Linked DNA regions of Bombyx mori. The protein of the gene in region 1 purifies or fractionates together with the protein of each later gene. This does not show direct contact. Links are inferred from orthologs where the notes say so. Each region holds a gene or a part of one and is shown on either strand. Other genes may lie near its edges. The genes, in order: Rack1, serine/threonine-protein kinase RIO3 and vigilin.

Region 1 (4,223 bases):
TATTTGTTCATTCATATTGTTCTTGCAGTTGGAATATGATTAATTTGGTGCTGAATATGTTCACTAAAAGATTTTTGAAATTTACTTCTTTGTAGTATTCTATGTTAGAAGTTAAATAGTTAATTATTAATATGAAATAAAATTCAGGTGGAGAAAGAATCAATGCTAGGTTTCATACCACAGCTGCATTGTTTTAACCATCTAATCTGTGGCTAGTCTACAGACAGAAAGCGTTGTAAATAAGGCACTGCTACTCTAGTCCTTTAAGCTAATTGCAGTTAACTGTGACATCTTGATCCAATTAACTGTATTGTGTACATTTATTTTTATATATTAGTGCATACTGTTTGTAACCATAATTTCAATTACTTTTCCATTGAACATATTTATTAAATCTGAAGCTTTAAAAAGAATCTATTTTTGTAGAGAATTATGATTCACTACAGGGGTTGAGGTTGGGTTGGTTTTGTCATTATCCTTTTGTATTTTTGTATGTAAATTTACATTATAATAAATAAAGTCATTTGGGTACGAAAAGGTCGTATTTTATTTACATAACAATACATTAAAATAGGCACTATTCAATTTCTTATCTTAAACTTACAAGGAGATCAATAAAATGCTAGTTTGGAAAATTTACACAATTTCATTTATTTTCATCCTTAACATAATTCAACACCGTCAAGAATTGGAACAAGTAGAAAAATCACTTAGAGTCAATCATCCAAGGAATGAGTAAAGAACACAAAAATAAATGAAATTAATGTTGACAATTAAGCTTATCGAGCTGAGATGGAAACCTGCCACACTCTTATAGTATTATCTGAGTAACCAGCAAATAAGGTTTGTCCATCAGTAGACCATGCTAGGGAGAGACACTGAGGAGGGTCTGTCTTGGAAGTTTGCGTTTGGTTAATGATTTCAGGCCTGAGCTCTTCAACCATCTCCTTGCTTTCCAGATCCTGTAAAAAAGCAGTTTAATAATATGTATTTTTTTAGAAGTGATTTTTTGTTATTTATATTTTCCAAATATATCTTTAACAGCTAAAAGACATTTACAGCTAGATATGCTTGCATAAGTAGTACCCCCATTTACACCTTCAATCACTTTCGACAGAATCCACCAGGTTGACAATCTACTTAGAGGGCATCACTGTGGTACCTTCCAACGCATGGTTGGCACTTATGAATTATAGAACCTTAATGGAAAATATTTACTCAATTTTAGTTATTAATTAAATCGATACATACCCAGATCTTGATGGAAGGTCCGAAAGCAGCACATAGCCAGTATCTGTTGGGTGAGAAGCACAAGGCCGTGATGATATCATTGTGGTCTAAGGTGTGGAGGTGTTTGCCATCGTTCAGATCCCACAACATCGCCTTCATATCCTTACCACCAGATGCACACAAAGAGCCATCAGGTGATACAGTAACAGTGTTCAGATAGCCAGAGTGACCCAAATGGTTAATCTTGAGCTTACAGTTAGTGAGATGCCAGACCTGTGCACAAAAAAAACCATTGATTAAGATTTATATAAACAGATTCCTAGAATAAGTTTTTTATTTGTTAGAACTTTAATATAAAGCTGAACATTCATATTTACTTAAATTTGAATTATGAAAAATCTATAATTAGGCTCATGAGGATTTGTATATTAGCTTTTAGGTATTCCTCAGGAAGTCTTTTTTTTTGGATGAGACAAGTACCTAATATATTTTTCAACAGCTGTGAACGCTAAACGATAATTAACGAACTAGATTAGACTTTTGATACATCTAAGCATTGAAGGAATCAAGGCAATTTATAACCCTTTTCATAAATAGTACACTAACCTTGACAGTTCTGTCCCAACCACAGGATACAATAATGGGGTTGGCATGATTGGGTGAGAATCTGACACATGACACCCAATCGCTGTGTCCATCATCTTGGATGGTATACTTGCACTCCGCAAGGGTGTTCCAGAGTTTGATAGTCTTGTCGCGAGAACCAGACACTATCTGACGGTTGTCAACTGAGAAGGCTACCGAGAGTACATCCTGTGATATAAACAAAAAACTTATCAATTCAACTACACTTAGAATTGTTAACAGACTGTTGTATGATGGTCGGTATATTTACAATACTATAATTATACTACCATCTTACCTCAGACTTTTACAACACAAACACAATCTTCTGCCTCGCAAAGGCACAAAACACTGGTCTTCTGCCTCGCATAGGCACTTAGGATTATCTTCAGTGCATAATCAGCATTTACACCCTAACAAAATTAAGAGTTCTGTCACACCTTAGTATGGTCCTCGAATCGTCTGGTAGTCTTGCCTGCAGCGAGATCCCACAAACGCAAAGTCTTGTCCCAAGAACCGGAAAGGGCGTAATTACCGTCACTAGACAGCACAACATCAGAAATGAAGTGCGAATGACCGTATAAACGCTTTTGAGGTATACCGTAGTTGTTTTCGTCTCTGGTCAGCTTCCACACGATGAGAGTTTTGTCTGAAGATAAATTTCAAATTTTATTCGAATGTCTCATTTTCTATATGTATATTGGATCCTACAGTAACAAAATATTCAGCCCCATATCCGCTTGCCGCTCACAACAATCGCGTGGCAAAGTTTTACTCATCATGTTATTTTGTTGGTAAATGGTAGTATACAAGAAAACTGATACGTATTTAACCCAGGTTATTGCATATTTGCACGGTTATTGAGATAATGATTGTAAAGATGTATCTGGATTTATTAGCAAACTTACCTCGAGAGGAAGATAAGATCATGTCCGGGTATTTCGGATTAGTTGCAATTTGAGTAACCCAGCCATTGTGGCCTCTAAGAGTTCCTCGGAGTTTTAATGTTTCAGACATTTTTGAAAATGGTTTGAAGAGCGACGACTCCCTGAAGCGTCAGGTCCGGTAGCACGTGTTAAAAGAACACGAAACCTACGGTGATGGCCGACCATCGACCGCGAACTAGAGATGCCCAAATCAGTCGAGTCAAAGAGGCGACAACTTTTCAGGGTTGACCTAGTCGACTACATCGATTGTAAAACATCGCGATGATTTATGAAATCAATTTTCTAAATTATTAATCCCGTAGTTGAATAAGAGACCATTACTATAAGGTAATTTGTGATTTTTAAATGGAAATCTCGAAATTGATTTACTACTCGCTGGGGCAAATGGCCGGCGTCCGAGACAAATTGAAGCCACAAATCGAAACGAAAAATCTGTCTACTACTGCCGAGTGTGAAGCACGATTTAAAAAAAAAACAATTTTTTATATTTGAGAAATTACCGGTGGCCCGGAGGCCTTTCCAGTTTTACCAGGGCAGGTGGGCGAACAAGGGCTCAGCCAGAAAGGGTGGGATTTACTCGAGCGCCTCCAAAGGAGACCTAACAACTTGAGGGAGCTCATATAGAGTCCCTTCTTTATTTCGCCGTAAAGTCGTGTTTTATATAATTAACACCACAGTTGAAACAATATAAATTTTATTGTTGTAGCGACATAAACAATTCTAAGTAATTATATTACATTAGTTATTAAACACATTATAAATTATTTTTACGTTTTAAATTTTCGGCGGTAAAAAGGTCCCGTGTCACAGACTAAATTCTTTTACCTCTCGTGCATTCTGGCGTACGCATCATAAAAAGGTGCGTTATTGAACGCCACAAACTCAAGAACAGCTGCTTCACGAATAAATCTACTACCGGATCGGAATCGCGACCCGCTGAGAAGATCCGGCGAGAAACTCAGCGAGCTAATGCCTAGGTTAGGTTGCAAGTCGAATTCTTTGTCGAGTTCGACGAGTACGGTTATCGAAAAACCGAGCGTGCTTTATCACACGAAAGAAGTAAAACTTCTTTATACCCATCCCTATGTGTATATATATACATATATGGTTCTAAGGTCTCAGTATAGTTACAACGGCTGTCCCACCATTCAAACTGAAGAAATAGGCAGAGTACGCTCCAGGCTGGTACCTACCCGTGCGCTCTCACAAGACGTCCTACTACCAGTAATTATGCAAATTTCAATTTTTACTGGATTGATATTCATTAAACGATGTTATTCCTTCACCGTGGAAGTCGATCATGAACATTTGTGAAGTACATATTTCATTACAAGAATTGGTACTTGCCTGCAGGATTCGAACTCCGTTGCATTGCTGGATGCGAATGCACCGGACGTCTTATCCTTTAGATCACGACGACTT
Region 2 (4,249 bases), about 1.7 Mb from region 1:
TGTTGAAGTTATTTCATTGTCAATCTTGACTTCATTACCAAAATTGGCAGCACTATCAACAGTTTTACTTTTGGCAGCATGATTCCACATTTCCTCAAATTCATCTTCTTCATTATCATCACTTTTATCACTTTTAGCTTTCTCTTCATTGGTTTTCTGCCAACAATATTCAAATGGATAGCTAACGTTTCGATTATCATCGGGGGCGATTTCAAATCGGCATGCCAGAGAATTGTATGTGGTATGAACTCCTTCCAATAAGTTCACATCAACTTCATTAAAGCCGGTTATTGATTTAAAAAGTTCTTCTGCAGTTTGCACATGTGAGACCCCCTTTTTTTCAAAGAACTGTAATGAGAAACAATATTAAACATTTTAAAGTATTTTTATACCACTTTAACCCTTAAAGTAATAGAAGATAAAGCATATCTGCTGTAATAATGGTAATGAATACATAAAATTATGAAATTGAGCAACACACCATTATAAATAAGTAATGTATGAAAAATATCACCACTTGAATTGTTTCATCACCACTTGAACATTGTTTTTATGTAAACTCATTTTTTTTGGATTTCTTTGATGTTATTTATTGAATAGATTAACAAAAATAGAATTAGATGTTAAAAGGAGCCACCAAACTTGACACAATAGGTTGTGCTCAATTTGGCTGTATAACGGCTGACTCCGTTTTATTTTTTTATTGACCTTGTTGGCATACGGCTAACCTGATGGTGAGTGGTTACCGACCTACTACTACGGGCTTCAGCAATGCCAGGGGCAGAGCCAAGCTGCTTCCTACCGTTGATATTACAGCAATTTACTTTTTATAAATTATCTATGTTGGTGTATATCTATGTTATTTATACTGGTATATTATGCCTTCACCGTAGGAGAAATTCATAAAATTGTTTTAAGATCAATTGAAAAAGTATCTGTCAGATTTTTATTCCTTACATATTTAGCACTATAAAAAAGGCCAGTACTGAGAATCCTCATCCTGAAGTCTTCAAGCCTAGGAGGCTTTTTTAAATTATATTATTACATATTTAAGCCTACGTATATTTATATTTTTAATTATATAATTAATAAAGCAGTTTGAAACCTGTTTAGTTGAAACCATTTTATTTATTTATAAAGAAATGATTCAGCTTTACTCCTAAATAATTTAAATTTAATGTAAAAATAGATAGATTTAGTAAATTTTGTGTTATAATTAATATAAAAATAAATTAAATTTTCGCATGCCTAAACAGGCGAAATATATGAAGCTATGTCCTATATCTTGTAAACTATATTTCTGGCGAATAAAGATTTTCTTTCTTTCTTTCTTTCTTAATAGAAAACGTAATACTCACATTGACAATATTACGACAATCTCGAAGTAAAAACTCCAACCCGTTAGGGTGGTCAGGTTGCACAGACTGAGAAACATCAATAAACCAGCATTTATTATCCCACCAGAGAATGTTATACTCTGATAGATCAGCATGAATCAGATGACCAACATTGTACATTTTATGCATACTCTCCACAACCTCATTGTAAACACTGTGCCATTTATCTGACCTTAAGATTATGTCTCTTAGCTTGGGGGCTGGCTTGTTATCCTTCCCAATAAATGACATTAAAAGTATATGTTTCTTCAAGCAGATCATATCCGGACAGTTCAATCCTATCTTCTGCAAGCGCATCATGTTGTGCATCTCCTTCTCAGCCCACATGTGTACAATTTTTCTTGGATTTTGTTTCGAGAAGCGATCTTTGAATCTATAATCGGCTTCTATGTATTTGTCTCGAGTTTTGAACTCGTTAAGAGTTGTTTTGAAGACTTTAATAGCACATTCTCTAGGTACATCTAAGTCAGGATAAGTTGTGTCACCATTAGCATGTAGAACAACAGACTCCTTTCCTGTTGAGATGACACCATTGATATCCTCTAATACCCCATTGTTAATAAGTTTGAATAGTATCAATCTAGTAGGCTCATCCAGGCCCATTTCGGCTGTAGCTTGACTCTCCTTTCTGTCCAACATTTTATGTTTACGTGTATTGTGATATCTCGTCTGTTCTTTCAAATGATTAAATACAGAATTGGAGAGTTTCATATCGAAGCCAGCGCCATCTCCAGTGCATACTTCCGGAGGGAATGCCATAACTTTACAAGCATTCCGCCTTCCAGTGATAACACTGTCGTGTTTGGTGACCATTGCTCCATCTTTTATGATAAATCCGCGTTTCGGAAGGCTTGCGAATTCCTTTTCGTTTGTTTCGAAGCGATCCCAGTCTTTCTTATCGCCCTCAAAGTCATCGTCGTCTTCAGAGTCGTAAATCAAATGCGATGGTACGTTGCGGTAATTATCATAGGAAACGGATACTTTAGCATCTCCATTACGTTTTTTCTCTACGCGTTTGATTTCGTCATCGTGTTCTCTGTCGAACTGACATTGCAAAACTTTTGCAATAATCGCGTCAGAGTCACAATATTCCTTTGCGTTGCAGCTTTCTATTTCTTGTAACAACTCAACTGGAACTTCATTAGAGGTGCCGACATGGTGCTCAGAGAGATGTTCTGCAAATTTTATCTCTTCTCTAACCTGAAGGTCTCTTGCAAATTCTTCAGACATGATATCCGACAGCTTCTGCGCCTCTACTGGTGCTGTCACTTTTTTCCAAGGATTCGACATGACTATCTTGTTTTAATTAGAATAAAAAACAATGTTAAACAATTTATAAATAAACTTGTAGAATATTTTATTTCTTAAATTATGTAGTATTATGTAGGTACCTACACATATGTTTAGCAAATTCAAGACAGATATTAATAACTGTATAATCTGTGGAAGACAGGCAGACCATAGATTATACACTACAACATAGATACCTATTATAATACACTTCATATTTGAAACACTAAGGCTGTTTTCCAATTAGAGCACAAGAGCGCATTATGTGGCATAATGCTCAACTAAGCTTCAGCATAATTCGGCATTGTGCGTTACTGAGTCGCATTATGCTCTGTAATTGGAAAACTACCATTAAGTAATGGTTAATTTACAGTCGCATTATGCTCTGTAATTGGAAAACGCATAATGCGCGCTTGTGCTGTAATTGGAAAACGGCCTTAATTAATAAGTGTACCTACTTATGCTTCAAACCAGACCTGAAACAGACTATGAGCAAACTAAGATGTACAGTTTGCACATACCTAAATAATACGTGGACACGCCGTGCGTCGTCATTGTGGTGTCAGGTTATTTTATTATATTATCAGGGCAGTGCACTTAGCAACACGCACTCGTTAAGACGTTACCATCTGTGCTTAACCGACATAATAAAGGTGCTCAAACAACACACTAACTCTTTGGAACTCAACAAACTTCCCCTTGGACCCCAACATCTTTTTTGGTCCTTCGAGCCGGATTCTCGCATGTTTTTTGTGTCTCTTACAACAGTGGCGAATCGGTTCGGCTGGCCTCTCACAAGCGAGAATCCCCAGCTGCATTGAGACAAGGGCGCACACACTGGGTAAGAGTGCATAAACATAGTGAGATTTGGATACGACCAATTTATCAAAATTGGATCTTCGTGTCGTGAACTACGCCTAGCTGTACTTGTCACCGTCAACTACGTGCCAAGTTTGGTGAGCTATCACATTATTTCATAACATCAACATGGATAAACTTGAACTTCAATCAACTTGTTTCGAGAATATCAAGACTTTGTGTACAAACTACCGCAAAGATTCTTCGTCTCGAAAAACTGAAGAGTACCTCAACATACGTTTGTCATCTTTGGAAGAACAGTGGAGAGACTTCGAGGCGAGAAATGCCTTATTACTACTGGAACTGGAAGACAAAACTATACATTATTTCTCTGAAGACGTTTACAACAAAACTAAAGAAATGTATCTAGCAACAAAAACAGACATAAACAACAGACTTAAATACTTGAAACAGCAAAAACATAGTGTGAATTTTGATTTAAGTGACATTTCTGTTGACTACACTCAAGACTGCGAGGACGGAAAATCTGAAAAAATACAACAACTTTTAAATAAACAAGAATGCAATTTTAATGCGATTTATCATGCATTGTCTAAAATTGACATCATTAGAACTAGTGAAAAGTGGGAGCTGGAAGATAATTTTAACATTTTAAAATCGAAGTGGGAGTCCATCGACAAACTGCACTGGGAAATTGACTTTCAGCTGAAGGGGTCTAACGATCACTATTACCGCATGTACTC
Region 3 (3,654 bases), on another chromosome or scaffold:
CAATAGATCGTTACATAAATTAATTATTTTACATAACAATATTTTGTTAAATGGCTTGCTATAACTAGCAATTTTTTAAATTGATGTCAGAAACACCTTTTTTGATAACCATGGTCAACAGCATGGTTAAAAACAATGGTTATGGTCAAAAGCCATGATAATTTTTTTAACAAATCATTATTAAGCTTGAAGATTAAAACTTTCGTTGTGGAAAAAATCAGGCTTTTACCTTCGGAATTGTTATTTACTCACATAAAGTTATGGATATTTTTTTTCAAAAGTATTTGATATTTAATACCAATCGAAATATGCATCCATGGGATCTGCCAGCGCAGTGGTAAGTTACCAATGCCCTTCGATAAAAAAGTCGGGTGTACTGAGCTAACAAACTCTTCAAAGACATTTGCACTGCTTCTCGGGTATTGATTTTTCCCTGTCAAGAAGTTGTCCAAACTTTAGAAAAAGCAGAAGTCTGTCGGCGAAAACCTGGTGAGAACAGTGGACAACGCAAAACTTCCGATCCTCCTGTAGCTTCTGTTGTCAGTTGTCTCGTATGAAGTCAAACGTTGTATAGCACTGGGAACCAGCGATTAACTACGACTGGCCGGATATTGGCGAGCTTCTTCATCATCGTATTTTTTTATTGTATAGATGGGTGTATGAGCTCACAGCCCACCTGGTGTTAAGTGGTTACTGGAGTCCATAGACATCTATAACGTAAATGCCGCCACCCACCTTGAGAAATGTGTTCTAAGGTCTCAGTATAGTTACAGTTACAACGGCTGCCCCACCCTTCAAACCGAAACGCATTACTGCTTCACGGCTGAGATAGGCAGGGTGGTGGTACCTACTCGTGTGGACTCATAAGAGGTCCTACTACCAGTAATTACGCAAATTATAATTTTACGGGTTTGATTTTTATTACACGATGCTATTCCCTCACCGTGAGAGTCAATCGTGAACATTTGATAAGTACGTATTTCATTAGAAAAATTAGTACCCGCTTGCGGGATTCGAACACCATTGCGTCGCAAGATAAGAATGCACCAGACAAACGTCTTATCCTTTACTTGAACCAGTCCAGTTTCTCCACAATACACATTCGTAGTAATGCCAGTGCAATTTGTTCATAAGCTGTGATAAGTTAATCGGGCACTAAACCACCAATGACTATAAACTTTTTTGGGATATGTTCTCGTTTGAGGCCTCGGGTGCTGAACCAGGTTCTAACCAACATGACGATTATTAAAAAATCATTTTTCAACGCAAGTGACAGTGCGATTCAAAATCAACGCGAGGCATAGCTTATGCCGTTCGTCGCGCTGGCGATCGTTCAGTTCGTGCAGTAGTTGCAGTACCCACTTAACAAATGTTTACTTTGCCTCTTTAACGCAAATGGATCGATATAGTTTTGATGCTAACTATGAAAGCTGCTGCTAACTCAACGGTAGATTGAGTGAGTATCGTCAGCTTCCACTATCGCCTTTAATTCGACGTTGTTGACTTTGGTTTTCAGGAGACCACGGGGCTCTTTTCTAAAATCAATATTTCCGAGTCAGAAATGTTCAAATCAATGACTTCATTTCGTACATGTCATATTAAACTTAAGATTCGTTTGTACGTTATTGCTACCGCGACGTAACTCGTATTCCATAATTGCTGATATTTTAGTGTCCAAATTGATGAAAAAAATCGAAATGTAAGGAAAAGAAAATACTAATCAATAAACAAATTACTGAATTTGAAAATAGAATTCCATATTTTTAATAATTTCATTCGAATTTAGATTATTTTCCGGTCATACATAAAATAGATTTCAAATTGTATTGTAAAACGGATACTTCATAGGTAAAGATCTATTATAAATATCTATGCTAAATCTTAAACTAGGTACCTATTGAGAATGCATATTTCAATAGTTACCTACATAATTATGATTGATATGTAATTTTACCTAAAGTAGCATTTTTATCAGATAAGACTTAGGAATAATTCTTAATTAATAAACTTCATTCTTATTTAAAACCGAATACATCAATAAAAGTGAAATTAAGTTAATTAGATAATTTTCCATAAGGTTTTCCATGTGCCATATGAAGAACGAAAACTTGACAATGCTAATACTTTTGGTGAGGGAGAATCCTTAAGAACTTGCCATTCCATAACTAAGGATACAGGAGCGCACATCGAAATATCTACCAGCAAAGATGGCAGTCTAACTTTCCTTATCACTGGAAAGCAGAGCGCTGTTCTCGAAGCGCGGCGACAAATTTTGACCCATTTTCAGCAACAGGTAAAAAGAGATGTGAAATTATAAGTAAAAATTAACATTTGGTGTATTTACAATATTTTATGAGCTTATAAAATTTCAGGCCAGTAAACAAATCTCAATCCCTAAGGAGCATTATCGTTGGATCTTAGGAAAACAGGGACAGAAACTAAAAGAACTCGAAAAGGTCACTGCAACTAAGATTAATGTGCCAGGAATTTCAGACAATAGTGAAATAATAACTATTACTGGCACAAAAGAAGGGATAGAAAAAGCTGAACATGAAATCAGGGTGTGTTCTGAGGAACAGGTAAAATATATAAACTTTCTGTTTGTCTGTTAAGTATCAAAATATCAAATAAAGACCAAAGTTCAACACTGACATTGGGTTTTCAGTCACGAAAGGCTTTAGAACGTGTCGTAGTACCGAAAATTTACCATCCATTCATCCAAGGGCCGTACGGTGAAAGAGCAGCAGCGCTAAGTGCCGAAACTGGTGCCAGAATCCACATTCCTCCTGCTTCTACTCAAAGTGATGAGATTGTTATAGCTGGGGAAAAAAATGGTGTGCTGGCTGCAAAGGCTCAAATCGAGCAAATACATGAAGAAATGGTAATAAACATAATATATAAAACACAATATGTACACTATTTTATGCAATGTAACATTAAACAACTTATAATCCATCAGGTAAAAAAATGTGCAACTGTTCGGGTAGAAGTGCCCAAGTCTCAACATAAGTATGTAATTGGAGCTCGTGGTACTACAATCCAGGAAATTCTTAAGGAGACTGGTGTCTCTGTTGAAATGCCTCCAACGGATTCTCCTACAGGCACCATCACCCTTCATGGACCTCATAATAAAATTGGCCTTGGTATGTAGAATAACAACTACATTTTTTTTTTTATTAATGTAGATAGAGTGAAGTTAACAAAAATATGTTGGTATTATATGGCTTCTGGTGTTCATAGCCAAAGTCACAACTTTATTTTAAGTTATTTAAGAGCAAAATAAGTTGTATTTCTTGTATTCAGACATTATATTCCTTACATGTTTTAGCTCTATCAAAGGTTTGTGAGAAAGCAAATTCTGTAAAAACGGCTACTGTTGATGCTCCCACTTGGATCCACAAATACATCATCGGCAAGAACGGCTCTAATATTAAAAAGATTACTCAGGACTTTTCAAAGGTATTCACAGTGTGTATAATATAGTCACATTAATGCAATAGCAAAAATTTTGTTCAAAAGTTCCGTATGCTTGTTTGGTATGCTTTTTTGATAACAGTAATTAGAAACATCAAAATTAAGACGAAATTTATTGCTAATAGTAAAGAAAATATATAGAACAATTCTTATAGGTACATGTAGACATAACTCATTCTG

Evidence for each region.
Region 2: the proteins of Rack1 (region 1) and serine/threonine-protein kinase RIO3 purify together in Homo sapiens (affinity purification with mass spectrometry; 3 studies listed by BioGRID and IntAct, counting the BioPlex papers as one, with this or other methods). This does not show direct contact. The link is inferred for Bombyx mori from reciprocal best matches to the Homo sapiens genes RACK1 and RIOK3.
Region 3: the proteins of Rack1 (region 1) and vigilin purify together in Homo sapiens (affinity purification with mass spectrometry; 3 studies listed by BioGRID and IntAct, with this or other methods). This does not show direct contact. The link is inferred for Bombyx mori from reciprocal best matches to the Homo sapiens genes RACK1 and HDLBP.

What each region holds. Positions count from the first base shown.
Region 1 is NC_085109.1:3,348,287-3,352,509, reverse strand, and holds Rack1 (receptor for activated protein kinase C RACK 1), read right to left. Parts: upstream 2,947-4,223; 5' UTR 2,872-2,946; coding exon 2,763-2,871; intron 2,504-2,762; coding exon 2,295-2,503; coding exon of another isoform or gene 2,289-2,294; exon of another isoform or gene 2,153-2,288; intron 2,044-2,152; coding exon 1,837-2,043; intron 1,504-1,836; coding exon 1,252-1,503; intron 963-1,251; coding exon 780-962; 3' UTR 630-779; downstream 1-629. UniProt on the Homo sapiens protein: Scaffolding protein involved in the recruitment, assembly and/or regulation of a variety of signaling molecules. Interacts with a wide variety of proteins and plays a role in many cellular processes.
Region 2 is NC_085109.1:1,624,814-1,629,062, reverse strand, and holds the start of serine/threonine-protein kinase RIO3, read right to left. Parts: upstream 2,875-4,249; 5' UTR 2,688-2,874; coding exon 1,359-2,687; intron 1,327-1,358; exon of another isoform or gene 349-1,326; coding exon 1-348.
Region 3 is NC_085116.1:8,390,196-8,393,849, reverse strand, and holds part of vigilin, read left to right. Parts: intron 1-2,077; coding exon 2,078-2,293; intron 2,294-2,372; coding exon 2,373-2,579; intron 2,580-2,665; coding exon 2,666-2,881; intron 2,882-2,959; coding exon 2,960-3,143; intron 3,144-3,328; coding exon 3,329-3,459; intron 3,460-3,629; coding exon 3,630-3,654. UniProt on the Homo sapiens protein: Appears to play a role in cell sterol metabolism. It may function to protect cells from over-accumulation of cholesterol.